Linked DNA regions of Ovis aries. The protein of the gene in region 2 interacts with the protein of the main gene of each other region in a pairwise test. Links are inferred from orthologs where the notes say so. Each region holds a gene or a part of one and is shown on either strand. Other genes may lie near its edges.

Region 1 (9,938 bases), on a different chromosome or scaffold from region 2:
TGGACTCTCTTTCCTTTCCTTTGTGGTCCAGGAGAAAACGCTCTTCCAGCCTGAGACCTCAGCCGAGTTCTACCGTGACTGGCGGCGACACTTGCGCAGCGGGCCAGAGCGCTACGAGGCACTGCTGCAGCTCGGGGGCCCGAAGCTGAGCCGCCTCTTCCAGATGGACGTGGGGTTTGGACTTCTAGGAGAGATGCTGGTGGCACTGGCCGATCATGTGAGGCCTGCTGACCGCTGGGCAGTGCTGGGGATCCTGCACAGCCTGGCCAGCACTGGGCGCTTCACCCTGAACCTGAGCCTGATGAGCCATGCAGAGAGAGAGAGCTGCAGAGCCTTGTTTCAGAAGTTGCAGGCCATGGGCACCCCCAGTCCGGAGGGGCAGGGTCTGGGGGAGCAGCTGGGTGGGCTTCAGGAGGAGGAAGGTCTGCTGCAAGAGCTGCTGATGCTATACCACCTGGGCTGATGGGACCATTTACCTTCAGAGGCCCCCAGTGGTCATCAGAGGCATTTTTTGATTTTTGGGGGGACTCTGCAGGACTCTAATCAGAAACCCACACCTGATTCCCATTTGGATTTAGAATTTTCACAACCAAAGCAGGAACTGAATTTTCACTTTTCCCCCAGCCCCTTGGGGGCTTCATATTCTGAACTTTGTAGATCTACAGGATGGTCAAGGGCCAAGCTGAAAGACTTTTGCTTCCCACCCTTAGAGTCTGCCAGTCTGCTAGCCCATGGCCCTGAGATATGGGTGAGCACCCAACGAAACACTGGTACCACCCATTGCAGCCTCCGCTCAAAACAAGGAAAAAACAAAATTGTTAATCCTCCATGGTTAACAAATACTGATCTCCATAGGTCTTTTTTTAAAGTTGATTTTTATTGGAGTATAGTTGCCTTAAATGTTGTTAGTTTCTTCAGTATAGTAAAGTGAATCATTTATACGTATATCTATCTATTTATCTATCTATCTATATATCTTCTTTTTTGATGTCCTTCCCATTTAGGTGACCACAGAGCATTGAGTAGAGTTCCCTGTGGTACACAGTAGGTTTGCATTAGTTATCTATTTTATACATAGAAGTGTACATACGGTCAATCCCAATCTCCTAGTTCATCCTCCATAGCCCTTAAACAAGAGTATTCGTCACCAGAAACCAACGAATGGACATTTAGTCAATAAATGATCAAATGCTACCTCATTTGAAGTGGACTATTTTTCTCCAGGGGCTGAGTTCCCATGAAGGTTGGGCCTGAGAAAGCCCCAAGCCTTCAGCTCAGGCCTGGCCAGCCTCCCAGGTATATTCAGATGGCCAGATGTGCAGGTGGGAGGGTTTCCTTCAACCCTCAGATTATCCAAAGGAAAGATGTTTGCAACCAGGCCCGCAGGCAGGGCAGAGCCTGAAGCAGAAGGGCAGAGATTTTCCCGAACTTGTACCTGGGCCCTTGTTTCTCCTCCTGGCTTCCCCTGACCCACTGTTCTAGAATGCTAGAGTTCTAGAAAGGGGAGAGGGAGCCAGATTCTAGAATGGTTTTCTCCTCAAGAGCACATCTGGAACATGAGAAGGGCATCTTGTATGTTAACTAGGAATCAATTGCCTTGCCTATGGCAGCTTCCTCTGCAGACTGTTGCTTCTTTTCCTGGCTGCTTAAACCTTTCCTCATGTAGATGCCTCCTCCTAGCAGTGATTTCTAGAAGCCCCATAGGCCTTTAGTGCCTCGGGTTTGCCCTGCCCCCTCTGACCCTTCCCTTGCGCAGGCATGAACCTGGCCCACACCACTGTGCTCCTGTGGGCGTGGGGGAGCCTCCAGGCCTTTGAAATAGTGGAGAAAGAGAACATCTTTCAGAGGACCCCCTGCCCAGCTTTCCTGATGTTTGACAACGCGGCCTACCTGGCCGACATGAGCTTCGAGCTCCCCTGCCCCTGCAAGCCGGAGGAGGTGTCCGCTGTCGTCTGGTACTATCAGAAGCACCTGGGCAGCAGCCACACCAAAGTGCTGACGGACTTCGATGGGCGGGTGCTGACGGAGGCAGCCCAGGTGCGCGTGGGCAGCGACATGCTGGTCCGCTTCAGCATCCGCATGTTCAGCCTCTTGGTCTTCCGGGCGCAGCCGGAGGATTCCGGCTTGTATTTCTGCGGCACCCGCAAGGGGGACTACTTTTACGCCTACGACGTGGACATCCAGAGCAGTGAGGGGATGGTGGCTACCTTCAAGGACCAGGGCCAGGAGCCCTTGGAAGACGAGTACCACGGGAGCCTCCGCGTCTTCACCACCTTCTGGGAGTGGACCCCCTGCGACCGCTGCGGGGTGCGCGGGGAGCAGTGGCGTATCGGTCTGTGCTACCTGCAGAGCCCGGACCTCTCTCCCCGCTACCGCAAGATACTGCCCAACGTGGTGTCTTGTGGTTCGAGGGCTGTGCCCAGGCAGCTCCGGGCCAAGGCCAGCAACCACAACCCCGAGCTGCTGGTTCGGAGCTGCCTGATGCCCTGCGAGAAGAAGAAGAAGGTCCAGGAGGGCGTGATGGCCATCTTCAACTATGTGTCCAAAGTGGGCAGTCGGCCCTGGTTGCCCCAGGTGCCCATTCAGTTCCACCAGCAGAGACTGGGCCATGGACTCATCATCTCCTGCCCCGGAGCCCGGCCAGAGCACGCCGTGGCCTGGGACAAGGACCACCAGTACCTCTACCGCACGCAGTACCTGAAGGGCGTCAATGGATCCATGAGGGTGTTCATCGACCACGGCAACCATCTCCACATCCGCTTCACCCAGCTGGAAGACCGGGGCATCTACTATTGCTGGAGGCAGGGCGATCGCATTGCTGGGTTCCGACTGGGTGTGACATCTCCAGGTCGCTATCCGGTCTCCTTCTCCGACCCCGAGACTCGAGCCGCCCTGGGGCTCATTCTGATAGGCTACATGCTTATCACGGTCATCTTCATCAGCATTCACCTTTGTCGTTGCTGCTGTTACTTATTCCGTTTTTGTCCCAACTTCTCCCCTAGGCTCTCTCTCCCCTAGCTCTGAAGACCAGCTGTGCTCAAATGTGTTTGTTAAATGGTACCAGATGCCTCCGGTTGGGGGTGGGGCATGCGAACCTGCCCCCCATTTTCGTGAGCAAGTCTAGAACCTCATCTGGGAAGCAGGGAAGCCTGAGCAGGTGGGAGATGGGGAACTGAGTCCAGGATGGAAGTAGTCGGAGTACACGTCTTCTGACTTAATGCTCAGAGAAGGAAGAAGTGAACCTAATATTTATCATCTATCTGGTGTTGACTGTGTTTGATGTGCTTTATTTTCTTGCCTTCATGGATTGCCAAGTGGGTGCTGTTTGAACTGAAGGTAGCAGAGAGAGGAAGAAAAGAGTTGGGGTACCTAGTATATATATCCTCTTTGCCTTCTTTCCCAGCCTCATCCCGGAACCAGCAGGTAGAAATGGTGAGTTTGAGAATAAAGGTAGAGACCAGGACAGGAGAAATGGGTGAGGAAAGTGGAGACTGAATTCAGGGCTTTCCTGAGAGATGGCACCCAGCCTGGGGCCGGAGGTGAGGAGCCAGAAGCAAAGGCAGTGGGTGTGTGGGGCACCAGGGCTGGAGAGCAGAGCAGGGTTGGAGGCAGGATTTGTCATGTGGCCACTTCTGGGGATGCTGGGGGCCCCAAGACGATCAGTGATAAGAAGCAAGTTGTGTCTTGCCTGAGGCTACTTACTGTCCTCTGCCCCAGCCTCAGCCTCCGCTGAACAGATCAGAGTCCACTCTGGGGAAGGCCACAGCAGTCGTCTTTATTTGTTGCATTTATGTCAGTGACTAAAGCTCGTGGCAATGCCCTGAAGGTTAGCAGCAGTGGGTGGCACGAGGGAGTAGGGGAAGGGTATGCAGTCAAGTCCCTCTGACTTGGAGGGAGATGGGGACCCTGGGGTGGGCTTCGGAGCCCCACTTGTGGGCACTGATCATCTCATGCCCATCAGTCTCCCTGTGAACAGCAGAACAGGTGCTCAGGGTGAAAGTGTCTGCCCCAAGCTTTCCTGCCTCCAGGCTGCAGGAACACAAACCAGTGTCTTCACTCTGCATGGGCCTCGGGTTCCAAATCATAAAATAAACTGCTACCTAAAACATGGAGGGGGGGGTATGTTTTGTATTTGACTAAGAGGGGGCTATAGGGGCCTTGGTTTAGGGAAGAGCAGTGATCACTGTGGGGAGAGGACGTTGGGTCACAACAGAGGCTTCGCCTAGCAGTGTTTCCTGGGGTCAGGTGGCAGTTGCAGGGGCTCACAGGCCTGGGTGGACAAGGTTTACACAGCAAGGAAAGGTCCTTGAGAGCTGGGACAAAGCAGGCCCCACTCCCATGAACAGCAGCCTCTTCCTTTCCTGTGTCAGCATCTTCAAGAGGATGACTCACTTTCTTGATTTCCACAACCCAAAGGCCAAGTGTAACTGCTTACCCACGACCCCCACTCTGATGTCTAGCATCATCCCAAGCACTGCCCCCACCATCTCTACCTGCCCACTCCAGCCTGTATCAGAGTCCTCCTGGGCTTGACCTCTCTGTACCCACAGCAATGGGCAACGCCCCCTTCTACTCCCTCCCAGCACCCCTTTCCTCTGCACTTACACTATACTTCCCCCAAGCATGGAGAATCAAGCTCCCACGGGCCCACGGCATGCCCACGTGGCAGCTCAGTGGGGCTGAGACACTCGACACATTGCTCAGGAGGCCCCTCTGCAATCTGAGCAGGCCAGGAATTCTGTCTGCTGACTCTCCCAGTTGGCAGGATAGCCCCACCCACCCTCAGACTGGTCAGAGTCAGTCTAGAAGAATAAGCCTCTGGCCAAGGCCACCTTGCCTTGGGGACTTCCTCTGCTTGTCTCAGACTCTCAGTTTTCCTCCAGCAGCCCAAAGGCCCCATTCCCAGATACCCCCAGATACCTCCAGCTCTGGCAACAGTTGCCATGACAACAGAGGTTCGCGATACAGAGGGCAGGGTGATTTATGAGGTCTCCCCGCTTTCTCTCCTCCCTCCCAATTCTAACCCAAGCTGCTGGCCGTGCCCCTCCAGGCTGCCCTTTGGGGTGAGTGCCCTGTTAGTGTTGCTGGGTGTGGGGTGGGTGCTGTCTGACAGGCTTAATGCTGATGGAGCCTAGGGTGGCAAGCTGGCATAGAGATGGAGCAGGAAGAGGAGCAACTGGATTGGGTGGGAACTCAATTCTGGGGAAATTAACTAGCAGAGAAGAGACAGCTACCCCGACTCCTGCTGCAGACGCCTCAAACGGTGGGGCAGTGACCGCCAGATGGGTCCTGCTCACATCACATCCTTGTGCTCCTGCTTGGACTCCTTAATGACCTGAAGGGGACAGAGAAGGTGCCATAGTTAGGAGCTCACACAGACTCCAGGTCCACCATGGCTAGGCAATGTGACCTGGGACAAGTTCCCAGCCTTTCAACTTTTCTATGATAGTAACCAGAATGCCGCCACGCAGCAGAGGGGGAAACGAGCTAATCCTGTCAAACATCTGGCAAACATCTGCCTGGCACATGCTGAGCTGCTGTTGTAAGATTAGCTAATTCTGCTGGTACGGTGGGGAGGGGATATGCCCAATCTCCTCTTCCCATTCTTCTGCCAGGTCCCTTTCACCAAGCTGAAAGTTGAACGTTGGGAGTGAAAGTTACTAAATTTAATTTTCATTCTGTCTCCCCCAGGCCTGCTGTGGGGGCACCTGAGTCTGAGGGTGAGAAAGGGAGAAAGAAAGCCAGAGTCAGGACCCTGACCTGTGGCCTAAGCATCTAGGCTCCCCTTAGTGTAGGGACTGGGGAATGGAATTATATCTGGGCTCCTTCCCCTCTTCCAGAGCCTCCCAGAGGAACTCTTGGGAGTTATGGAGAACCTTCTATATGCCAGTCCAGGCTTTCTCCCAGAGCCTGCTGGGGCCAGAATCTTGGGCCTGCCCTCCTCACCTCTCCATCCCGCATCTCCACGGTCTTCACCACAATGTTCCTCTTGAGGTGGCCTTCTGACACGGACTTGGTGTCCAGGCTGGTTTCTGCAGACATGAGGAGAGGAGGCCTCCATAGGCTCTCAGGGCCCTAGACATCCTCTCCCACCCTTGGTTTCCCCCTGAGACCCCTAATCGTGAGTACAAAAGCCTATCCAACCAGAGAAGTCCTAGGCTCTCCCAGAGGGGCTGGCAACCTCCTAAGTCCCCACAGTGCCAAGCAAGCCCTCACTTCCCTGCTTGCTGTCCTGGCCTGGCTGCATTTCAGCCCCTCTGCAGTTCCTCACTTGGCCCCTGGCTCCCTGACAACCCAGTATCACACCAAGGAAAGAGCATGTGGTTACTGAAGTCAGGCAGGCCAGAGCTCGAGTCCCAGCTCAGCCACATGACTGTGGGTAAGTTAATTTACCTCTTCCAACCTCAGTGTCCTCATCTGCAAAATGGGGATACTGCTGCCTACTTCTCTAGGTCGAAGTAGTGAGTTAACTGAAACAATGTGTGTAAAACAATGGGCACGTATTCATGTTCCGTACACATGGGTCCCTCTCCCGTCCCTCTTCCCTTTTCCTGCCTCTCTCTGCCACTTCTCTAGGACCCTTTTCTGTCTGGCATGTGGCAGTATTGCCTCTACCTGGTCTGCTGGTTAACTCTTCTGATACTGAACTAAGCCCTCGGACATGCATAGCTAGTGTTCCTAAATTTCTAGTCCAGAAGAATTATTTTTTCCCTCAGCTGAGAATTATTTGAGGGCCACATACAAGTAAGAAGCAATTTATTCCCCCCTGCAGAGAGAAAAATGTAACATGTCACACTCACTAATGTTTAATATTAAGAGCAGGGGACATAAAACTTTATTCACTCCAAGAGCAGCAGTCTAGAGGGAAATAATCCTCTGGGCTGAATCAGCCCTGAGCTGAACAACCGAGCCTCGGGGACAGAGGAATCAGGCCAAGAGCCTGGCTGCCAGGCACCGTGAGACTCTAGGGGCCCTCCTGGTGATGGGGAAGAGGTGAGGCAGAAGCTGGTGTTTGCTCAGAGGCCCAGAGCATCTGAGCTGAGTACCCGAGGACTTAGCACCTTGAACACTGGCCAACTCTACTACTTTAATGTACATTTACCCTGTGCCAGGTCCTGGACTGGGCGCTGAGATTGCTGGGGAAATGACACAGGGTTGGCCCTTTAGGGAAACCTGGGAGGAGGGAGCTCAAGAAGATGGGGAAAGTGGGCTTGGTGAGCTTGCTCCCTATTAAGGTGAAAAAAGCACCATGTCTAAAAGGCAGGCAGCTAACCGAGAGCCGGCGGGGCTCCATCTACAACCTGGTGAGCCTGAATTGGTATAACTTGTATTGTGAGGCTTTTGAGATGTCTTGTGACCTTGTGACTTTCCCCTTCTTTGGTGCTTTTGCCCCCTGTAGTGACAAGCAGTTAAAAAAAAACACACAAACATCAAACACTCAGCTGGACAGGGATCTGCAGACAGGTGAGAGGTTAAGACCCTCACTCAGTTCTGCAGTGGAATGGGGAGTAGGCATGGGAGGAGGGACAAAGGGCAGAGCAGGACAGGAGTGGCTGCAAGCCCCACCTGGAATGCTCTGGAATGGTGTGTTCTGGCTGGAAGTTCTGCCATGAATATTGAAGGTCCCCACAGAGAGCACTGGGCCCCTCTGCCCTGGTCCTCGGGCTCAGACCAGAAGAGCAACCCACAGGCCTGGGGAAGGGGGCGGGAATCCAACACTCTGCCCACAAAACCCTGTTCTACTGACCTCGGATCTGCAGGTTGGAGAAGGTCTGAACAGGAATGGTGATGCTGAAAGACAGCAGAAGGAGAGGGGTGACCAGCCTGCCAGAGGACACTCCCAGGCCAGATCCTGGTCCAAGGTCACCATAATAGCTTCGAGGCCCTCTTCCTTGCCAGGAAAGGCGGACCTCCATCTCTTAGCTTCTCCAGCAGCCAACACACTCCCCGCGCTGTAAGAGCTCTGGGGGAACACCTCCACTCAAAAGAGAGTGAGTGCTCTGAGGATGACAGAGGGGAGGGGAGAGCAGTGAAGAGAGTTCCCAGGAGGCAGAGGAGATTGGTCAGCAGAAAAGAAGTCCAGTCTTTGTTGGGAGGGTGGGGAGTGAGCCTTTTAGTTTGGAAGATAACCCAAGTCCTTACCCTAGGATCTGATCAACATGGGCTGAATTGAATCCATCCATTCATTCATCAGGCATTTATGAATACCAACTGTGTGTTAGGTGAGCACTGTGCTGGGCGCTGGGATAGGAGGGGGCTGGTCACGAGGCTGAATAAGACAGTCCCTGATGGGGCTTCCCAGATGGCGCAGTGGTAAAGAACACACCTGCCAAAGCAGGAGACACAAAGAGACGTGGGTTCTATCCCTGGGTCGGGAAGACCCGCTGGAGAAGGAAATGGCAACTCACTCCAGTATTCTTGCCTGGGAAATCCCATGGATATAGGAGCCTGACGGGCTACCATCTATGGGAGTCGCAAAGAGTTGGACATGTCCGAGCACACATGTATTCGTGAAGGGAGCAAGGCGACTCTGGGGCGGGGCAGTAGGGCAGGCGGCCGGTCTGGGCTCACCGGTTCTCCTCGCCCTCCAGCAGCTTCCTGTAGGTGGCGATCTCGATGTCCAGGGCCAGTTTGACGTTGAGCAGATCCTGGTATTCCTGCAGGTGGCGCGCCATCTCGTCCTTGAGGCTCTGCCCCTCTTCCTCCAGCCGGGCCAGCGCCTCCTGGTAACTCGCCGCCTCCCGCGCGTGGCGCTCCTCTTGCTCGCGCATCTGCCGCTCCAGGGACTCGTTCTGTGGGTGGAGCCGGACCGTTCCCCGAGGCCCCGCCCCAAGAAACTTTTCAGAGCTCCGCCCCGAGCCAGTCCTTCAGCGTCTGCTAGGGCTGTAGGTCCCAGGTTCCCGGCTCGCTCACCCGTACCCCTCCTCCGCCTGCGGCCCCGCCCCTGCTCACCGTGCCGCGCAAGGACTCCAGGTCGCAGGTCAAGGCCTGCAGCTGCCGTCGGTAGTCGTTGGCCTCATGCTTGGCCTGGCGGAGCAGCTCCGCGTTGCGGGCGGCGGCGTCGTTCAGGTCCGCGAACTAGATGAGGAGAGGGCTTTATGCTGGAAGGCGGTCTGGGGCCGCATATCGCGGGAGCTTAGTGGGCTCGGGGGGTTGGTACGCGGTCTGGAGGATCAGGGAGATGGGCCGGACGGTACGGCTGTTTTCCAGCCCACCCCACGCCACTGGCACTGGGTGGGATTATTCACAGTCACCCGTGGCCCATGGACACAGACACAGACGACATTGCTACTTCTCTAGCATCTAGCTCAGTGCCTGATGAGGGAACGCGTGAATGAGCAGAGGGTGTCACAGAGCCCAGACTCTCCAGTAGCTCCATCCTCGGGACTGAATCCTGTCCTCCTAGGTCACACACAGGGAGCTCTGGTGAGCAGAGACCAGGTTCTAATAACCCTCTCTCCTTCAGCCTGCTCTGAATCCCTCATGGTTCCATCACGCCTTAACCTGCTCAGAACCATCCCTGACTTCTGCCACTTACACTCCTCAGCTCCATGCCCTGGGCCAGGATCTCCGGGCCCCCACTTTTCTGTGCTTTATGGCCTCTACTCAGGCTGTGTCCTGCATGCCCTTCCTGAATGCCCTTTCTCTCTTCTCTGTATGTTCGTAGGCTGCCAGTCCCGCCTGGCCCCACTGCCCTCCCATGAAATCTGTCCTGCTTCCGCGTTGCGTGTAAACCCTGCCCTGCTGCGTTCTTCACAGACATCAAGCTGAGTGACATCACATCCCCCTGGTCAGACGTGTCTCTGTATGCAGGGCAGAGCCTGGCATGCAGCAGATACTCAGTAACCCAGGATGCAGATGGCAGAAGCATCAAGAATGTGGGCTTGGGACTTCCCTGGCAGTCCAGTGGTGAAGGCTCCACCCTTCCAATGGGCGAG
Region 2 (10,099 bases):
CAATAAAATTATTTTTATCAACACAGAACATTCATGACAATTTTACCCTTAATCCAAATGTGAAAAACACTGTTTGAAGAAAGTATGCAATATTTGCTGGTTTGGGTACAATTTTTTCTTTCGTAAGTGTCTTTTTAATTAAAAAAAAATGTATTTGGCTGTGCTGGATCTTAGCTTCGACATGCAAACTCTTAGTTGTGGCATGTGGGATACAGTTCCCTGACCATGGATTGAACCCAGGCTCCCTGCATGGACCATCAGGGAAGTCCCTCACAAATATCTTAATACCAGTATGTGGCAGAAACTGATAGGTGCTTCTGCAACATCTGTGAAGACCACTGGGGCCTTTGCCCCCATCGGCAACCTATGTGAGAGAAAGACTATACGTGTAGGTAACAACAATCAATCATATGAATTATGATGTCCTCTAAGGGAAATAAGTTGCTGTGATGGAAAATAAAGGCATTAGAAGTATACTTAAAGAGGTGGTTAAAGTTTTTCTTAGACGGTAACTTTAAAACTGAGAACTTAAAGAGGAAAATATCCAAATGAGGCTTTTTATAAGAAAAACAGAAACACAGCTACTGCTCCCATCTCCTGTTGTCTCTTTCTGCCTCATAGTCGAGCGCACGCAATCGCTTCCTGAGCCTTTTCCTCCTACATGCCTGGCACTGTGCTAATTTTACAGGTGCAAAGAAATAATAAGAGGAATCTGTTTGATTTATAAGTTGTAAAAACCAAGAATGTAATTCTTCTGCTCCTCCACAGCTCATACTACCGATTCTCATACAAACAGGCATGACTTTGTGATCAGACAGAGCTAGATTCAAATCTTGCCTTTTTAAGACTAGCCACCATAAAGTCCTCTGAGCTCCAGTTTGCTCTTTTGTAAACTGGGGCCAACAATACATAAGTTACTAAGTTATGGAAATGATTAGATAATATTACTGGAAGCAGAAGTAGAAAAGAGTGGTTCAAACACTGAAGTCAGACAGACCTGGGTTCAAGACCCTAAACTTATTATTCTCTATTAATCCCTGACGCTGGGAATTAATCTCTGATATGGAGATAGGTGGTTGTGAAGATCAAAGCATACAGGTAAACCATATATAGAGTATATACATAGTCCCCTTGAACATCCCTGGATACACGAAAGGCCTCCCTGCTCCAACTTCTCTGAGTGCAGAAAATTTTCCGGCAAGGAATAATAAGGAAAACACCCACTTTTTCATTCAACAAAACTGGCTGAATCCTTATTGTAAAGTGAAAATGAAGTCTCAGTCGTGCCAGACTCTACGACCCCATGGACTGCAGCCTACCAGTCTCCATCCACGGGATTCTCCAGGCAAGAATACTGGAGTGGGTTGCCATTTCCTTCTCCATATTGTGTATTGCCATGCCTGCGGGGCAACCCAAGACGGGCAGGTCATGGTGGAGAGGTCTGACAGAGCGTGTTCCACTGGAGAAGGGAATGGCAAGCCACTTCAGTATTCCTGCCTTGAGAACCCCATGAACAGTATGAAAAGGCAAAATGATAGGATACTGAAAGAGGAACTCCCCAGGTCATTAGGTGCCCAATATGCTACTGGAGATCAGTGGAGAAATAACTCCAGAAAGAACGAAGGGATGGAGCCAAAGCAAAAACAATACCCAGTTGTGGATGTGACTGGTGATAGAAGCAAGATCCGATGCTATAAAGAGCAATATTGCATAGGAACCTGGAGCGTCAGGTCCATGAATCAAGGCAAATTGGCCAAGAGATGGCAAGAGTGAACGTCAACATTCTAGGAATCAGCGAACTAAAATGGACTGGAATGGGTGAATTTAACTCAGATGACCATTACATCTACTACTGCAGGCAGGAATCCCTCAGAAGAAATGGAGTAGCCATCATGGTCAACAAAAGAGTCCGAAATGCAGTACTTGGATGCAATCTCAAAACGACAGAATGATCTCTGTTCGTCTCCAAGGCAAACCACTCAATATCACAGTTATCCAAGTCTATACCAACCAGTAACGCTGAAGAAGCTGAAGTTGAACGGTTTTATGAAGACCTGTAAGACCTTTTAGAACTAACACCCAAAAAAGATGTCCTTTTCATTATAGGGGACTGGAATGCAAAAGTAGGAAGTCAAGAAACACCTGGAGTAACAGGCAAATTTGGCCTTGGAATGCGGAATGAAGCAGGGCAAAGACTAATAGAGTTTTGCCAAGAAAATGCACTGGTCATAGCAAACACCCTCTTCCAACAACACAAGAGAAGACTCTACTTATGGACATCACCAGATGGTTAACACCGAAATCAGACTGATTATATTCTATGCAGCCAAAGATGGAGAAGCCCTGTACAGTCAACAAAAACAAGACCAAGAGCTGAATGTGGCTCAGATCATGAACTCCTTATTGCCAAATTCAGACTTAAACTGAAAGTAGGGAAAACCGCTAGACCATTCAGGTATGACCTAAATCAAATCCCTTAAGGTTATACAGTGGAAGTGAGAAATAGATTTAAGGGCCTAGATCTGATAGAGTGCCTGATGAACTATGGAATGAGGTTCGTGACATTGTACAGGAGACAGGGATCAAGACCATCCCCATGGAAAAGAAATGCAAAAAAGCAAAATGACTGTCTAGGGAGGCCTTACAAATAGCTGTGAAAAGAAGAGAGGCGAAAAGCAAAGGAGAAAAGGAAAGATATAAGCATCTGAATGCAGAGTTCCAAAGAATAGCAAGGAGAGGCAAGAAAGCCTTCTGCAGCGATCAATGCAAAGAAATAGAGGAAAACAATAGAATGGGAAAGACTAGAAATCTCTTCAAGAAAATTAGAGATACCAAGGGAACATTTCATGCAAAGATGGGCTCGATAAAGGACAGAAATGATATGGACCTAACAGAAGCAGAAGATATTAAGAAGAGGTGGCAAGAATACACGGAAGAACTATACAAAAAGATCTTCACGACCCAGATAATCATGATGATGTGATCACTAATCTAGAGCCAGACATCTTGGAATGTGAAGTCAAGTGGGCCTTAGAAAGCATCACTGCAAACAAAGCTAGTGGAGGTGATGGCATTCCAGTTGAGCTGTTTCAAATCCTGAAAGATGATGCTGTGAAAGTGCTGCACTCAATATGCCAGCAAATTTGGAAAACTCAGCAGTGGCCATAGGACTGGAAAAGGTCAGTTTTCATTCCTATTCCAAAGAAAGGTAATGCAAAGAATGCTCAAACTACCGCACAATTGCACTCATCTCACATGCTAGTAAAGTAATGCTCAAAATTCTCCAAGCCAGGCTTCAGCAATACGTGCACCGCGAACTCCCTGATGTTCAAGCTGGTTTTAGAAAAGGCAGAGGAACCAGAGATCAAATTGCCAACATCCGCTGGATCATGGAAAAAGCAAGAGAGTTCCAGAAAAAAACATCTATTTCTGCTTTATTGACTATGCCAAAGCCTTTGATTGTGTGGATCACAATAAACTGTGGAAAATTCTGAAAGAGATGGGAATACCAGACCACCTGACCTGCCTCCTGAGAAATCCGTATGCAGGTCAGGAAGCAACAGTTAGAACTGGACATGGAACAACAGACTGGTTCCAAATAGGAAAAGTAATATGTCAAGGCTGTATATTGTCACCCTGCTTATTTAAGTTATATGCAGAGTACATCATGAGAAACGCTGGGCTGGAAGAAACACAAGCTGGAATCAAGATTGCCAGGAGAAATATCAATAACTTCCGATATGCAGATGACACCACTCTTACGGCAGAAAGTGAAGAGGAGCTAAAAAGCCTCTTGATGAAAGTGAAAGAGGAGAGTGAAAAAGTTGGCTTAAAGCTCAACATTCAGAAAACGAAGATCATGGCATCTGGTCCCATCACTTCATGGGAAATAGATGGGGAAACAGTGGAAACAGTGTCAGACTTTATTTTTTTGGGGCTCCAAAATCACTGCGGATGGTGACTGCAGCCATGAAATTAAAAGATACTTACTCCTTGGAAGAAAAGTTATGAGCAACCTAGATAGTATATTCAAAAGCAGAGACATTACTTTGCTGACTAAGGTCCGTCTAGTCAAGGCTATGGTTTTTCCTGTGGTCATGTATGGATGTGAGAGTTGGACTGTGAAGAAGGCTGAGCGCCGAAGAATTGATGCTTTTGAACTGTGGTGTTGGAGAAGACTCTTGAGAGTCCCTTGGACTGCAAGGAGATCCAACCAGTCCATTCTGAAGGAGATCAACCCTGGGATTTCTTTGGAAGGAATGATGCTAAAGCTGAAACTCCAGTACTTTGGCCACCTCATGCGAAGAGTTGACTCATTGGAAAAGACTCTGATGCTGGGAGGGATTGGGGGCAGGAGGAGAAGGGGACGACCGAGGATGTGATGGCTGGATGGTATCACGGACTCGATGGACGTGAGTCTGAGTGAATTCCGGGAGATGGTGATGAACAGGGAGGCCTGGCGTGCTGCGATTCATGGGGTCGCAAAGAGTCGGACATGACTGAGCGACTGAACTGAACTGTTTGTATATTAGGCACTGTGTATTTGGTCTAGCTTTCAAAACTCAGTTTAAAACGTTGTGCAAGCATGAAGATGGGAGAAAGGGCCTCTCTCAGTTTTACATCTAGTTCTCTAGCAACTCTCGCCCAGACACTTTCAACCTTAGGCCTGGTCCGGGATTCCCTCCTCCCCTAAGGCAGAACCAATAGGGATCCACCCTTCGCTTTCCGCCTAGGCCCAACCCTCTCCAGGTGTCTAAACCATCCGTAAGCCCCTAGGGCACAGCCCTCAGGTTACCCGTCCAGGGATACGCCCCCCACGCCTTGGTCCTTGCCAGCCCCGCCTTCTTGCTCCCTCAGACTCCTCCTCCCAAGCGCTGGCTCGGGTCCACCCATTCCGAGCTCGCCAGTTCCCGCGCTCCGAGCCGGATAGTACCTGGAGGCCACTCCGCTTGTTCCAGGTGAAAATGGACCCTGGGTACCCGCTCAGAGCCAAGAGCAGTTCGTGGATCATTCCCACGGCGGACCTCGAGTCCCTATATCCGTCGCGCCCTCCTCCAGGGCCTCAGCTGGCGACCAAGGAGGCGAGCGCTCCCTTCTCTATGCGCGCACAGGTCTCCGGGACGCACTGTTCCTCCTGACTTTACCCGCCGAGACAACTGCAGGGGAGACCGGACGGAAAGCAGCCGGCGCGCCGCGTCCCGGAAGTGCGCCGCGCTCGGCTGGGCCCCCTCGCCGGCGGCAGCCGGTGCCCCGCAAGAGTCGCGGGAGCTGCCCTTGCGCATGCGCCTTTGGCTCCCGAGGCACCCACTCGGACTTCCGGTTTGGAAGCTGGACTGGGAGGCTGGCGAGCCCGGGCTGGAGCCAGACCCTGACTGGGTGAGGCTGGCCGGTGGGCAGAGATGCGAGCGGGTTGAGCGATAGCCTGAGTGGGAGAAGCTCTCAGGTGTGGGCCACAGGGTGCTCTCAGGGCGCCTTAGTCCGGTCGGAGGCCTCCGGAGGGATTCATGACGGCTCCGAGTGACCTGGCCGGAGGGAACGAAAACAAAGAGGCCGGAACCCCGCACCCGCCGCTCCTAGACCTGAGCTCCGCGCTCGCGAACCTCGCAGCCCTCGGAGCGCCTGCCCACCACCCGAACTCGTCCTCAGGAGACCCATGACTACTGCCCCTTCGGAATTCCTCTCTCCACCAACTCAGTGTGACTCTCCCCAAACCCACTCGGACCTCGCTTCAGGAGCCAAAATCAACTTCTCTCAATGCGCGAGGTTTCCCGTCAGTAGTTCCCGGATGTTTACTGAGCGCTTACTTCTGCTGTGAGGGAAAACAGAGACCCAGTATTTAGTACTTGATTTTTGTTTGGGGTGGGAATTGGTAGTGGTGGAGTCTCAGGGAGCGGGGCGGGCTGTGAGGGCCTGGGGAAGGACAGTGGAGAGCAGCTTGCTACCCGCTGGACAGAGGCTTTGTTACCTTCAGCAGAATGGTGACCTGCCTTTAGAACCTTCCGAGCTCCAGGTCTCCCAAATGGTTCGAACTCACTGGTTAGGGGAGCTCAATGGGTCAGATTTGGGGGCGGCGGAAGAGTAGACAGTACTTTTATCCTTTGCTGCTTCTCCGGGCTGCCCTGGATGTCGGCCAGAGATGCAGCCTTTGAATGGCCTCTCACCTTCAGGCTGTTTTGACTTCCTGACCTGAAGCTGGTGCTACCTCAGATGACCACTTGGAGCATATGGGCAGTCAGGCCAGCTCTGGCAAGACCCTAGACATACATTCCTTCTGATAGTGCCATCTCTCTCTGCCCTAGGAGGAAACTGCTTACAGAGACAGACTCATCTGCAGGTGATTCCCCAAGGACATGGGAAGATGGGCCTAAGCCCTGGAACCTAGACCTTTAAGTGAAGGGAAGCTGCTTCCTGCTGTGAACCATGGCCAAACCCACCCTGAGAGGGAATGGCTCTAACTCTGAGGCCTTCCGACAGCGCTTCAGGAAGTTTCATTATCAGGAGGTGGCTGGGCCCCGGGAGGCTTTCAGCCAACTCTGGGAACTCTGCTGTCGTTGGCTAAGGCCAGAGGTGCGCACCAAGGAGCAGATTGTAGAATTGTTGGTGCTAGAGCAGTTCCTGACCGTCCTACCTGGGGAGATCCAGAACTGGGTACAAAAGCAATGTCCAGAAAGTGGAGAGGAGGCAGTGACTCTGGTGGAAGACTTAGAAAGAGAGCCTGGAAGACCTGGACATTCGGTGAGCAGGGAGGGGGAATTCAGAAGTATGTGACTGGGAAGGGGCAAGATAAAAGGCCAAATTAAGGCACAGTCTCTATTAGCGAAGCTCCTACAAAAGGTAACTTTTTCAGACAGCTTATTGGGAGATGCCACCTGAATGTAACTTTTTGACATAATGAGAGGGGAATTCTTTTTTAGTGTGGAATTGGGTTTACTATTTTGTTCTGGAGTTCCAGCTGCTCTAAGCTAACAGTAATGGAGTAAGAAAGACCCTTGTTCTATTAACCAACCCCCCACCACCACCCCAACCCTAGCCATGTCCCAAAAGGATGATCTCTTTTGGGATATTAACTAGACTCCTCTGGGAATACCCCTCATTATGACCTTGCAGTGACAATTCATGGGGGTTGTTTCCAGGTCACAGTCTCTGTGAAGGGGCAGGAAGTGCGCTTGGAGAAGATGGCACCCCTGAAATCATCACGAGAGTTATTAAGTGTTCGGCAGGAGTCAGTGGAACCCCAGCCCAGGGGTGTACCCAAGAAAGAGAGGGCAAGAAGCCCAGACCTGGGACCACAGGAGCAGATGAACCCAAAGGAGAAGCTCAGACCTTTTCAAAGGAGCGGTGAGGAGTAGATTCATCTGGGAAGATAGGATGCCGTTCTAAGTTGGGAAGTAGGGTTGGGAGCAGTGAGTGGGAAAGGGATTTCAGGAATGAGTGGAAATGGAGCATGCAGCTGTTGGGGACCTCCTGAAGGCAAGTAGCTTAGCTCTCTGTTGCAATAAGTATTCTTATACTTCCTCTTTTGATAAGTCTGCCAGAGAATGGCTCTCTATAGTTTTTACCAGGACTTGGAATTTCTTTTCTCCTGGTAATGACACTAAGTCTGAATTTTCTAGATAAAAATTCTTTTCTGTACTTGGCTTATCTTCCCTTTAGTCATTTTCTTTCTCCATATTAAACTAGATTTGTTTCTTTAAGCTTTTCCCCAGAAGCTCCATTCTTCAGACCTACTAAGTTTTTGTTACTCTCCTTTGGAAAATTCTTCAAACATCATGTTAATTGTGGAGAATTAAATTATATATATTATTCCAGTGAGGGTGTGGCAGGTAGAGGCAGACTAAGAATTTTACTTCAGAATTTCATTATACTTTCTTTCAGTATAACTCAACTAATGATTATCATTCACTTGATACTCCCAGGTCTCTTCCTGATTGTCTTGTGCCTGGTTCTTAAACTTGGTTTTGTGGGACTTGTTCTTCTTCTTTGTGCTCTGCTGAGCTCCATGTTGTATGTTGTTTTCCTTGAACACTTCAAGTTGTTGAGGTGGTTTTGAATTCTGATATTATCATCCCAGACACCAGCCTTCTCAGCCAGGCTGGTAGTGGTCTCTGTCTAATCATCCAGATGCAGTCCCTCAACCCCACTTGCAAAACTGATCTGTTTTTGAACACCTACCAACATGCTCAACACCATGCAGGGTCCTTGGAACGAGGAACGGTGCCTCTCAAAGAGTCTACAATATGATTGAGAATATTAGAGTTAACGTAAATATGTGAATTGAACTGTATTCAGACAGTGCCAAACCATGACTTGTTAGTTGTGTGAGTACAATAGGGGTTGGTAGAGTAGGAGATGAGGGAGGGCTGTATGGAAGGCTTCAGGGGGGCACTAATGGGTTAAATTTGCATGGAAAGGAGGGAGTTAAAGGCAAGGCAAGGCAGAGTGGTGAATGTGTGCTGCGTTCTGGAGAGAGGAGTCTGGTCTGAACGTGCTGTGCCTGTCAGGCACTCAGGTTAAGGTTTGGCAGTACAAACAGCACGTGAGCTGATGAAGCAAGAGCCCGGAGTTAGGTAGAGCAGTGACTGCTGCATAACCCAGGTGAAGGAAAATAAGAGGTCCAGACTTAGATGGTGGCAGTAGGAATAAAGGATATACTGAGGGAAAAGCCTCTAGAAGTTACTGACTGAGTGTGAGAGAAATGAAACAGCTGAAGACAGTCTCTTCCTTGCAATCACTCTTGAGTTTAATTCTCTAGTCCCAAGTAGAGAACCACAGCTGACCCTTGAACAACATAAGTTTGAACTGCACAGGTCCACTTATACACAGCTATCTTTTCATAGTAATTACTACAGTACTGTAGTTGGTTAAGTCTACAGATGTGGAGGAACGTGGATACAGAGGGCCTACTGTGAGCTCTACTCGGATTAACAGCCCCCCTCCCCGCCCCTGTCTTTGAAGAGTCAGCTCTCTAGGAGGCAGGAAGTGACTGTTTTCAGCAGTGCCAGGACCTGCATACAAGTAGTCTGGAGAGCTAAGCAGTAACTTGGAGCAGAATTATCTGCTCTGAACACACAAGAGGATGCTTTCCTCTGTCACCCTGCTCTGGGAAGTATTTCTCATTGTTTGAGGTTTTATGTATTTTCCTCACATTCTTCAACCCACTGATCTTTCTGAAAACATTTTCTTACTTTTCTTTATAAGCTTCTTGGATTAAAAAAAAGCAAGTCTGAACTCAGATACTTTTTTATGATGATTCCAAACTATGATATCCTTTGTTTGCTTCCCTGCAAGCAGGATTTCCATGTTCTAAATCCAGCATGGTCTCCAGCTTGGAGCAAGGAGAGCCATGGATCCCAGATCTGGGCTCCAAGGAGAAGGAACTCCCAAGAGGCAGTCACACAGAAGACAGACGAATGCCTGCTGATCTGTCACTGTCCAGAAGAGAGAGAAGCAGCTGGGTGGACCAGGATCACCGGGGCTTTGAAGATGAGAAGGTGGCAGGTGTGCACTGGGGCCATGAAGAGACCAGAACTCTCCTCGCAATTCTCAGTCAGCCTGAGTTTTATGAGGCTCTCCGAAACTGTCATCGGAACAGCCAAGTGTACGGGGCTGTGGCAGAGCGGCTCCGGGAGTTTGGGTTCCTCCGGACCCTGGAGCAGTGTAGGACCAAGTTCAAAGGTCTCCAGAAGAACTATCGAAAAGTCAAGAGTGGCCACCCACCTGAGACCTGTCCCTTTTTTGAAGAGATGGAAGCCCTGATGAGTGCCCAGGTCATTGCCCTGCCCAGTAATGGCCTGGAGGAGGCAGCCTCTCACTCTGGCCTGGGAGGCAGTGATGCTGAGACCGAGGAGCCAGAGCAAGAGGGCTGGCACCATGAAGAGGGAGAGGAGGCCACAGCTGAAGAGTCTGACAGTGACGAAGTGGGCCAAGAGGCTACCCCCCAGGACCCTGACAGCTCCACCACACCTGTCCTTTTCCGTAGCCCAAGTGGTAAGCTTTTCTTCTTGGCATTTTAGGATTAGACTGACAAATTATGAGGTTGGGTGTGGAGTCAGTAAACTTAATGTCACTTGCCAGCTTTGTCACTTAAGAGAATAGAGGC
Region 3 (10,099 bases), on a different chromosome or scaffold from region 2:
TGGACAGAGGAGCCTGGCGGGCTACCGTCCGTGGGGTTGCCAAGAGTCGGAGCGACGAAGCACAGCGCAGCATACCACCACATCGTACTCCAACTCTCCCCACCCCTCGTCCCGCCCACAGCACTCCCCGGGTCTACCACCTCACTCCTCCCCTCCTGCCCTCACCTCTTGGCAGAAATGCCCGATACCGCGGATCTTGAAGGAGCCCGTCGGCTGCACATTCTCATACTTGAGGAAGACAGGCATGCCGGCCACCTGGGACAGCGCCCAGCTCTCCAGCAGAGGCGTGACGACGTGGAAGGGCTCACCCTCGGCACATTCCTCCAGGGGGCTCTTCATCTCGGCAACAACCTGGAGGGCCTGCAGTAGGGCAGGAGCGTCACAGCCCAGGCGGCTCCCGCCCAGAGTCCCTCTAACTAGGACCGGGGAGGGGGAGGGAGAAGCCCCCTGGCTTGGCTCCCTTCATCCCCGGTGGCTGCCAAGCTGTGAGGCTCCAGGCAAGTGTCGGCACCTCTCTGGGCCTCAGTTTGACCATCCAGTCAAGGAGATTTGTACTAAGGGCACTTTTCTTCGGTTAATGTGGATGCTACAGCGCAAGAATGGAGAACATGGCCAATAGCGGTGATGAATGCATGAGATTTTATGCAGTCATCATTCATTGATTCAAAAAAAAAAAAAAAAAAGACATTCCCGAGCACCTACCGTCTGCCAGGCATTTTCAGGGTTAGGGACCCAGGAGTGGACAGGTCAGAGGCAGCCCCACGTTTTAGTTGGGGAGAGAGAATCAAAGAATTGCAACCTGGAATGACCTAGTGGGGAAGGCACTATTTTATCGAGGGTAGTCAGGAAAGACTCTCTCCCAGGAAAGAAACTTAAAAAAGATTTTTTTGCATTAAGGGGACTTCACTGGTGGGACTCTGCACTTCCAATGTAGGGGACAGAGATTCTACCACTGGTTGGCAAACAAAAAGCCCGTATACCTCAGGGGAAAAAAATTAAAACCTTGTACTATGGAAAATTTAAACACAGCAAAAGTGTCAAGAACCATCTGATGCAGCCGCCACTCAGCTTCAACAGTCATCAGCTCATGCCTGGCTTGTTTGTTCCATATCTGTACCCCTCCTCCTCCCCATATTATTATTTTTTCCACCTTTATCATTATATTTTCCTCCCATATTATTTGATCTGGAAATATTTCAGCATGTAGCTATAAAATTAAAGAACTCTTTTTAAACATTGTAGCCACAGTTTCAGAGCAGTATACATTTGTCCAAACTCTTCAAATTCTAACCTTGAGTAAGCTAATTTTATTTCATGGAAATTAGACCTCAGTGATGTTCATTTTTAAAAATGTAATCACAATACCATTATCACATCTAAAAATATTAACAATCATTTCTTAACAACATCAAATATTTGCTAAGTGTTCAAAATTCCAATCGTCTCACTAAATGTGATTAACAGTTGGTTTTGCAGATGGTGATAGTTAAGGTTTTAACAGTTTGAATCGGGTTGCAGAAGGGAGCTGTGCATTTTGGTTGGTCGAGAGATAATTTAATTTTCTTTTGATCTGCAGCTTCTCAAAAGGGGAGGGCTTCCCTGGTGGCTCAGTGGTAAAGAATCCGCCTGCTAATGCAGGAGACGTGGGTTCAATCCCTGGGTCAGGAATATCCCCTGGAGAAGGAAATGGCAACCCACTCCAGTATTCTTGCCTGGGAAATGCCATGGACAGAGGAGCCTGGCGGGCTACAGACCATGGGATCGTGGAGTCAGACATGACTTAGCAAGTAAACAACAACAAAGGGGAAACTGAGATGAACAAGAAGAGAAGCAAGGGAAAAGCATTCCTGCAGAGGGAACAGCAGATGGAGCCACCGCTTGAGGGAGATGAACTTGGAGTGTTCCAGGCGCTGATGAGACAAGGGACTGGGTAGAGGTGAGAGTATTAGTCAAGCAAAAAAGGTGCTTAGTCTTGTGAGAACTGGACTCTAAAGAAGGCTGAGCACCAAAGCATTGATGCTTTCAAATTGTGGTGCTGGAAAAGAGTCTTGAGGAATCCTTTGGACTGCAAGGAGATCAAGCCAGTTGATCCTAAAGGAAATCAGCCCTGAATATTCAACTGAAGGACTGAAGCTGAAGCTCCAATACTTTAGCCACCTGATGCGAAGAGCCGACACATTAGAGAAGACCCTGATGCTGGGAAAGATTGAAGTCAGAAGAAGAAGGGGGAGACAGAGGATGAGATGGTTGGATGGCATCACCAACTCAATGGATGTGAGTTTGAGCAAACTCTAGGAGATAATGAAGGACAGGGAAGCCTGGTGTGCTACTGTCCAAGGGGTCACAGAGAGTTGGGCAAGACCGAGGGACTAAACAAGGAGAGGTGAGCAGGGATGTTGGGAAGGGCGTTCCAGCCCACAGTGAGGAGTTGGGATATTATTCTATTTCTGCTTGCTATGGGAAGCCGCTGGGAGATTTGAAGCTAAGCTGCGAGTGAGTGAGTGAGTGAATGAACCAGTGTGAAAGGGCAAGAAGCAGAGAGGGAGGAAATTAGAAGGGAGGGAGAGTATAAGGGGTTTTTTGTTTGTTTATTTTGTTTTGTTTTTTTAAGGAGTAAACGCTGTTTTTCCTTTGAGAGGGAAACGAGTTGGGCCGCCCTTGCAGTTCCACTACTTGCCACTAGGGGGAGCGCATCAACCTCCATCAGCTACCACCAGCTCAAAGCTTCTAGTCCACACTTACTAAGTCAGGACTGGGCTCCCCACATCAGAGGGTTCCAGGTCTCTGATCCCTGAATTTGACTCGGAGTCCTTGCTGGGATGGCCCTGAGATTCCCCAGGCAGAGAAAAGCCTGAAACACTTCCACCCAGCTCCATCCGGGAAAATTCATGGCATTAGGGGAGAGCAGCCGCTGGGCCACCCAAATCCAGCAGGCCCAGCCCTGGCTTCACCTTGGCTCCAGAGCCCAAGAATTTGAGTTTTGGGGTGAATCAGAGGGAAAAGTTAGAAACTAGCTATGACTTCCTGGCTGTGTGACACAGGCAAGTGTCTCAACCTCTCTGTGCCTGTTTTCCCTTCTAAAATGGGAATAATAACATCCCAACTCACAGGTTAGAGTGCAGATTTAACCACTCCAGTATTCTTGCCTGAAGAATCCCATGAACAGAGGGGCCTGGCAGGCTACAGTCCATGGGGTCACAAAGAGTCAGATATGACCGAGCAGCCCAGTGCAATAATAATAACAGATATTCTTTGTTGAGTTCCTATTATGTGCCAGAAATTGGCTGAGTCTTTTGGAGGTGTCATTTCCCTGGGGTCTTCTAACGATGCCAATATGCTCATCCTTACTCTAGAATGTTTACAAAGCCCGGACCTAGGAACCGGGGGGTATCATGGTGAATAAGACAGACATCTACTCTTGGAGGGAACTTTATAGTCTTATAAGGGGATAATGAAGATCCCACATGTTGCAACTAAGACCCGGTGCATCCAAATAAATAAATTAATTTTAAAAAAATTTTTTAAACCTGAGACCTAAAAAAATGAGAATGAACTAACCACACAACAAACTGGGAGAAGAACTTGGGCATCACAGGACCACTGTGAGGATTAAGCGAGGTCTTACGTTAAATAGTAAAGACATCAACTCTGCCTCACGCACAATAACAGCTAATAGTTATGTGGGAATTACTGTGAGCCAGGCACCATGTCAAGCACCTTATAATAATTACAACAACCCTGAGATAGGTTCAATTATTAACTCCACTTTATAGACAATGAAACTGAGGCTCAGAGAGGTTAAGTATTAATAACCAGCCGAAGGTCGCACAGCTAGAAATGGCATGGCCAGGACTCCAAGTCAGGCAGTACAAGTTGGCATCTGTGCCCTTCCCCACCATGCTGTACTTTCTCTTTTATAGTAGCATTATCATTATGATGAAAGATGTGAGCATTTAGCACTTGACCACCGGTTGTCTTTAAAAGCAAATGCTGCTGGCTCAGTCCTCAGGCTCCTCAGCCCTCTTGGTTAGACTGCCCAGAAAAGAACAGCAGGCATCAGTTAAATGAATGAGTCCCAAGTTGCCAACAGCCTTATCAAGCCCAGACGCCCATGAGGGCACCTGCTACATCTATGGATTTGGATAAAGACCAGCTAACTGCCTTTTCCACTTTCTTCGTCCTTCAGCTTTTCTCCAGAGGCCACCCGGGTGACACTCTGCAGCCAAATTGTTGACGCCAGGGTTGGGAACCTCAGCACCTCTTAGTTGCCAGAATGCCCAGCCCTACCACCCTGGAGCCAGGGTGGGCTCCCCAATCTTCCAGGTCCTGGGCCCCCAGCCTTCTGCTGCAAGGCAGACAGGCCACAGGCACCCAGAGCTGAGCCTATGGGAGGACTTCGGACAGCCTCACTCTCCCACTTTCTGTCCAGCCAGCTGGGACTTGGCTCCAGAACCTTCCAAACAAACCTCTACTCACATTCACAAATGCACACCGAGTCCCAGGGCCCTACTTGGGCCCAGACCCACTTACCTTCCTTCCCAACAGTTCTCAGACCAGCTCAGGGCCAGTCCGCTGCCCACCGGCCTTCCTGAGCACCAGCTGTGCCAACTCCCTGCAGCCTCCTGTGGCCTTGGCCCCTCCCCTCGTGGTTAAAGGGATAGCTCTCCACTGGAGGAAAAAGGGGACAAGATCAGCCTTCACTGCTTCTCGGTTTGCTGTCCCAGACATGTGATGACCTGGCCCCATTTTACAGATTAAAAAAAACTGAGGCCCAGAAATGGGAATTCACTTGGCCAAGGCCACCCAGCCAGCAAGGGTCACCCTTTACCCCTCCCTCTGGATCACCTCTACTGTGACATAGACACCTCCAAATCCAGTGCTTGTCCCAAATGCCAAGCCACTTCCCCTGGACCACTGTCAAGGTCAGCTTAGGTCTGAGAAGAGAAAACAAGGATAAAGAAACAATTATTATCTGTCTCATGAGAAAGGCATATTTCCTTCTGAAGTTCCTCCTCATCTCTGATATTTTATGCCCAACACTGGGACTCAAACAATTATTTATTGTTCAAATGAATAACTCTGACAATCGATTCATTCATTCCAAGAATATTTATCGGGCACCGACCCTAGATCAAGCCCTGGGACCATTAGCCTCAAACAAGACAGCATGTCCCCTGCCCTCAAGAAGCCCCAAAGGGGGACTTCCCTGGTGGCCCAGTGGTAAAGAATCTGCCTTGCCATGCAGGGGACGTGGGTTCGATCCTGATCAGGGAAGTAAGTAGTTGCCTCATTGCAGCTACTAAGTCTGCACACTCTGGAGCCAGTGTGCCACAATTAGAGAGGCCTTGGGCGAAAACCAAAGATTCGCATAAGGCAGCTAAGACCCGATGCAACCAAACAAAATAAGTAAGCCCCAAGGGCCACTGAAGAGCAGCTGTGATCAGCTGTCAGATGTTGGCAGGAAGTGGGGAGGGCCAGGGCTGTGGGTGCCCAGAGCAGGTACCTCGCCTGGCCCCTGGAGGCTGGGAAGGCCTCGTGGAGGAGGAGACTGAGGGAAACCAGGAGTCAGCAACACAGAAAGCAAAGGTCAGGAACTGACAAAATGGGATGTTCCAGGAACAGATGTGCGCAGTAGGGCTGGTACGGAAAAGGCAGGAGAGGAAGTGTGTCTGCGGCTGGAGAGGCGGGCACAGACCAGAGCCCACAGGATGCCCCTACCAGTGCAGGGTGTGGACCTCACCCGGGGCCCTGCCTTAGACAGGGGAATGACAGGATCAGATTCCTGTCTTGTCTCTATCAGCATCTCACTGGGTGATTCTGAGCTGGTCACGTCCATGGCGTAGGCGGGCGGCGGGAAGGTTTAGTTCCCCTATATGTCAGACTGGATGTGAGGTCCAGGAAGCACGTAGCAGCCCAGATGGTCTGGGCCCTTCTTGGCCTGAGTGTGACGTCCCCGGATTTGATGATTAACTCCCAGGCCCTTGGGGGTCAAAGTGAATTGCTTGGTCATGATTCTTGAGAATGACTTTAGCAATTTCATTGCCTCCTCACACTAAGCACACGCCATCCTTGTCAGATGTCCTGTCCTGGAAGGGGAACTGGGGACACGGAGGTGGTAAAACCTAATTTATGCCCTGAAGTGGCCCCCAGCCTGAGGGGAGAGGAAGATACCAATTCAGTGACAACCCTAACATCCCCTAAGAGGACATAGAACAGAAGGTCCCCAAAGGGCAGCTGAGGGTGGGGTGTGATCAGGGAGGACTCCCTGGAGGAGGGGGGCCTTAGCCTACATGCTCAGACAAGAAGCATGACAGCCACATTCACTGTAGGCCCACTGTATGCCAGCCCTTCTGTGTTGACAAGAGATTCCCATAGGCTTTTGTTTGTTTTATTTGTTTGTTTGGCTCCACTGCCTCTTCATCTGCGTGTGTGGACTTTCTAGTTGCGTGTAAGGGCTTAGTTGCCCTGCAGCATGTGGGGTCTTAGTTCCCTCTCAAATTTTATTTTAAGAGTTGAGTATTTATGTCCTCTGTGTGTGTGTGCATAAGATAATATCCAGAATTTTATGGATATTATCGCTTAGAAAGAAGCTAAGACAGGTATTAAAGTTTTAAAATGGAGTTTGTTGTTTTAAAAACTACGAAGTAGTAGCAGTAAGTTTCTGGCATGAAGAGGCAATAACAATTAGAACACAGACCTTGAAGCCAGACTCTAGTACAAATACCAGCTTCGCACTTACTGGTTGTGCAACTTTGGGTAAGTTGCTTAATTTCTCTGTGCCCTGTTTTCACAAGCGTTGTTATTGTTCAGTTGCTAAGCCACGCCCGACTCTTTGAGACCCCACGGACGCCGTGGACGCCAGCACCCACGTCCTTCCCTGTCCTTCACTGTCTCCTAGAGTTTGCTCCAACACATGTCCATCGAGTTGGTGATGTCATCTGCCGGGGTCCAGCCCCAGTGGATCCAGGGAATTCGAAGTGGGGACGGAGTCGGTGTCCTAGGAAAAAACTTATTTAACTACAGATATATATAAAGATTAGAAATTGATAGTGTAGTAGGAAATATTAGTGGAGAAAAAGAGGCTGAATAACTTGGTTTACGCGGAAAACTAATAAAACCTCGAGACAAGAGGTTTGCACCATCTACGTTAGGCCACCGGCGTCCACTTGAATAGCGGAGGGTGCCCCACCTTGGGCTCCCTCTCACATGGATCTTAGAAGCCAGGGCAAGTAAGTAGACTTGGTGAGCCTCCGCACTCCAGATGGGAATTCAGGCGGAAAGGGGGAGAAAAGAATGACATGGGGGAGCCCAGCATCGGTGCAAGACTCAAGACTTTATTTTTAAAATCAGCTTATATACCCCAAGTTGTACATAAACAAATAATGGAATATGCAGAATTATGCAGGGGCAGCAGTCCTGACCCTCACTGAGACCAGGCTTTCTTTTTGCATACCTTCCTGTATTCAAAAGATCTCAGGTGGTTTACATTATCTTCTGGCCAAGAGGCCTGTTAACATTTTTATGGCTCTCTTCCTAGATAAATGTCTTTCAACCAGAAATCTCTCTTTCCTTAGAAGTGTTTTTTCTTTACTCTGCATCACCCTCAAAGTACTAAATAAAGTTACATTCATGTAGAACAAAGGTGCAGTGGGTTATAACAAAGAAAGTACTTACCTCAAAGATCTAATGTTGCTAATGCCAGGGCCACTATCTGTTTTTCCTATACACCAACTATATCTACAAATAAAAGATATGGAAATTTGGCAGCAAGTATTGGGTCAACAAATGAAACCTTTAATCAGTCCTATTCTAATGATTTTGACTCCTCAGAAGCCCCTACATTCCTAGGATGTTTTAAGCTTCCTGGGTCTCTCGCGGTCCGTGCAGCTGTAAGAGTCCAGCAGGCAGGCTAGACAGCCATCAGAGAGGTCTTTGGATTGAAACACTCTTATTATGCCCAGGAGACTTATTATCTAAAAGCTCTAAATTAAATTTTTCCAGAAAAAGGCGGTGGGGGGACAGCCCCCTGTTAATGTCAGTAGAGTAGGTGGAAAGCATAACACAGTAAAGCAGGCAGACTCTGGTTTTTTGGGGTGGATGCTCAGGAAATTCCAGGGGGAACCCCTGAAGCCTGATCACGCCCTTGCGTTTTGTCAGGCTTCCTTCCTCATGACCTTTGCCACGGGCGGGATTCCTCACGCTGGCTCCCGGCAGTCATCCAACCATCTGATCCTCTGTTATCCCCTTCTCCTCCCAACCTCAGTCTTTCCCAGCATCAGGGTCTTTTCTTATGAGTTGGCTCTTCGAATCAGGTGGCCAGAGTATGGGAGCTTCAGCTTCAATGACAGTCCTTCCAATGAATATTCAACGTTGAGTTCTTTTAGGATTGACTGGTTTGATCTCCTTGCAGTCCAAGGGACTCTCAAGAGTCTTCTCCAGCGATTTGACGGCATCGGTTTTTCGGTGCTCAGCCTTCATTATGGTCCAGCTCACATACATGACTACTGGAAAAACCATAACTTTGACATTTGTTGGCAAAGCAATGTCTCTGCTTTTCAATATGCTGTCTAGTTTTGTCATAGCTTTTCTTCCAAGGAAAGATGGTGTTGGGAGCCAGCGTGAAGAACTCTGCCCATGGCAAAGGTCATGAGGAAGGAAGCTTGGCATACGCAAAGGTGTGATCAAGCCTCAGGAAACCCCCTGTTCCAGAGCATCTACCCCCAAAACCAGAGTACTTTATGGGAAGCTCTCCCCTATAACCATTTCTCTCAGAGAAGGAGTTAACTTGCAGCTCCAGTTAATAAAAATTCCTGGGCGTGATAAGAGTGATTCAACTTACGAACTCTGGAGGTTCTCTGGCCTGCCTGATCAGGCTCGTCCAGCCGCATGTGATTGTTTACAGCCTCCCAACTTTGAGAGGCATGGGATGTTTTAAAACTTTCTAAATACAGACTCTTTTGAGAAGTTAGAAGATCATTAGTATAGTATTAGTAGGCTGATTAGGAATTATATTGGTGAAGGGTTTTTTCATTTGTCCTGCCAATAATTACTGCTAATTCCCTGCCCTGGGTGTGACAAGGATGTCTCAGGTCAAACCTTTCTGCTGACAGACTAGCTTGTGTGACAGCCTCTCAGCCATAAACAGCACAGAGACTTTGGAGTATTAGCATAGGGGTTTTTTCATTGATGAGTCAATGATTGCCATCAGGCCTCCATATCCTTAGGCACCTGGGAATATATTAATCAATGTATTTGGAATATAGAAAAGGAAATATAGTAGTTTTTTGATGTTAGCAATACTAGACTTTTTGAGTTAATGAATTTTCTCTTTTATTATAGACCACTGTACTTTGTTATAAATCACTGTGTCCTTGCTATGCAAAAATGTAACTTTGTCACTATCTTAAGACAAAATAGATCTTAAGGGGAACATTGGTGAAGGGTTTACATTTGTTGAGCCAATATTTGCTGCTAAATCTCCATATTCCTGCCCTTATAATGAATATAACTAGCATATAGGAGAAATAAGTATTAACCTTAAAGATTAATCATGTTAAACCTTAGGTTAAGTAAATTCCTTTCTTGATTGTAACTCACTACACCCTCACCCTATAGGAATGCAACTTTATTTGGAGGGTGGCGCCTGATTTAAGAAAAAATCACCCCTGGAAAAATAAGTTTTCTGGTTAACTGACCGGTATCAGAAAGAGCCATAAAATGTCAGCAGACCTCATGGCTAAAAGATGATGAAACTCTTAACACCTTTGTATAATTTTATATGAAGCACCTAACTGTGACAAGGGTCAGGTCTGCTGACCCCCGTGTGACTCTGTATTTATCCCTATGTGTAACAAAAAGGTATATAAACAAACCTGAAAAATAAAGAAATCAGATCAGTTTCTGGAAAGACTGATTCCCCCGTGTTGTTTCTTTCTCGCTCCCCGTTTTCCTGGCTGAATTCCCATCTGAAATGTGGGTACTCAGCAAGCCTGCTAATTCCGCCTGGGCTTCTGAGATTGGACCGGGGAGGACTCAGTGCCTCTTCTCCTTTGGCAGAATGGAAAGAAGCCTGTGGCCTACGTAGGTGGTGATTGGTATT

The links.
Region 1: the proteins of TUBGCP4 (region 2) and GFAP interact in a two-hybrid assay, tested with the Homo sapiens proteins (2 studies listed by BioGRID and IntAct). The two-hybrid records come from large-scale screens. The link is inferred for Ovis aries from reciprocal best matches to the Homo sapiens genes TUBGCP4 and GFAP.
Region 3: the proteins of TUBGCP4 (region 2) and SDSL interact in a two-hybrid assay, tested with the Homo sapiens proteins (2 studies listed by BioGRID and IntAct). The two-hybrid records come from large-scale screens. The link is inferred for Ovis aries from reciprocal best matches to the Homo sapiens genes TUBGCP4 and SDSL.

What each region holds. Positions count from the first base shown.
Region 1 is NC_056064.1:44,348,119-44,358,056, forward strand, and holds the end of GFAP (glial fibrillary acidic protein), read right to left. Parts: intron 9,079-9,938; coding exon 8,953-9,078; intron 8,793-8,952; coding exon 8,572-8,792; intron 7,792-8,571; coding exon 7,748-7,791; intron 7,394-7,747; coding exon 7,274-7,393; intron 6,033-7,273; coding exon 5,947-6,032; intron 5,336-5,946; coding exon 5,294-5,335; 3' UTR 3,752-5,293; downstream 1-3,751. Other genes in the region: CCDC103 (coiled-coil domain-containing protein 103), read left to right, coding at 32-463; Ig-like V-type domain-containing protein FAM187A, read left to right, coding at 1,759-3,018.
Region 2 is NC_056071.1:52,945,712-52,955,810, reverse strand, and holds the start of TUBGCP4 (gamma-tubulin complex component 4), read right to left. Parts: upstream 5,277-10,099; 5' UTR 5,012-5,276; coding exon 4,934-5,011; intron 1-4,933. Other genes in the region: ZSCAN29 (zinc finger and SCAN domain-containing protein 29), read left to right, coding at 6,421-6,735, 7,134-7,338, 9,292-9,987. UniProt on the Homo sapiens protein: Component of the gamma-tubulin ring complex (gTuRC) which mediates microtubule nucleation.
Region 3 is NC_056070.1:61,083,770-61,093,868, forward strand, and holds the start of SDSL (serine dehydratase-like), read right to left. Parts: upstream 4,598-10,099; 5' UTR 4,531-4,597; intron 361-4,530; 5' UTR 340-360; coding exon 166-339; intron 1-165. UniProt on the Homo sapiens protein: Catalyzes the pyridoxal-phosphate-dependent dehydrative deamination of L-threonine and L-serine to ammonia and alpha-ketobutyrate and pyruvate, respectively. Also exhibits racemase activity towards L-glutamate and D-glutamate.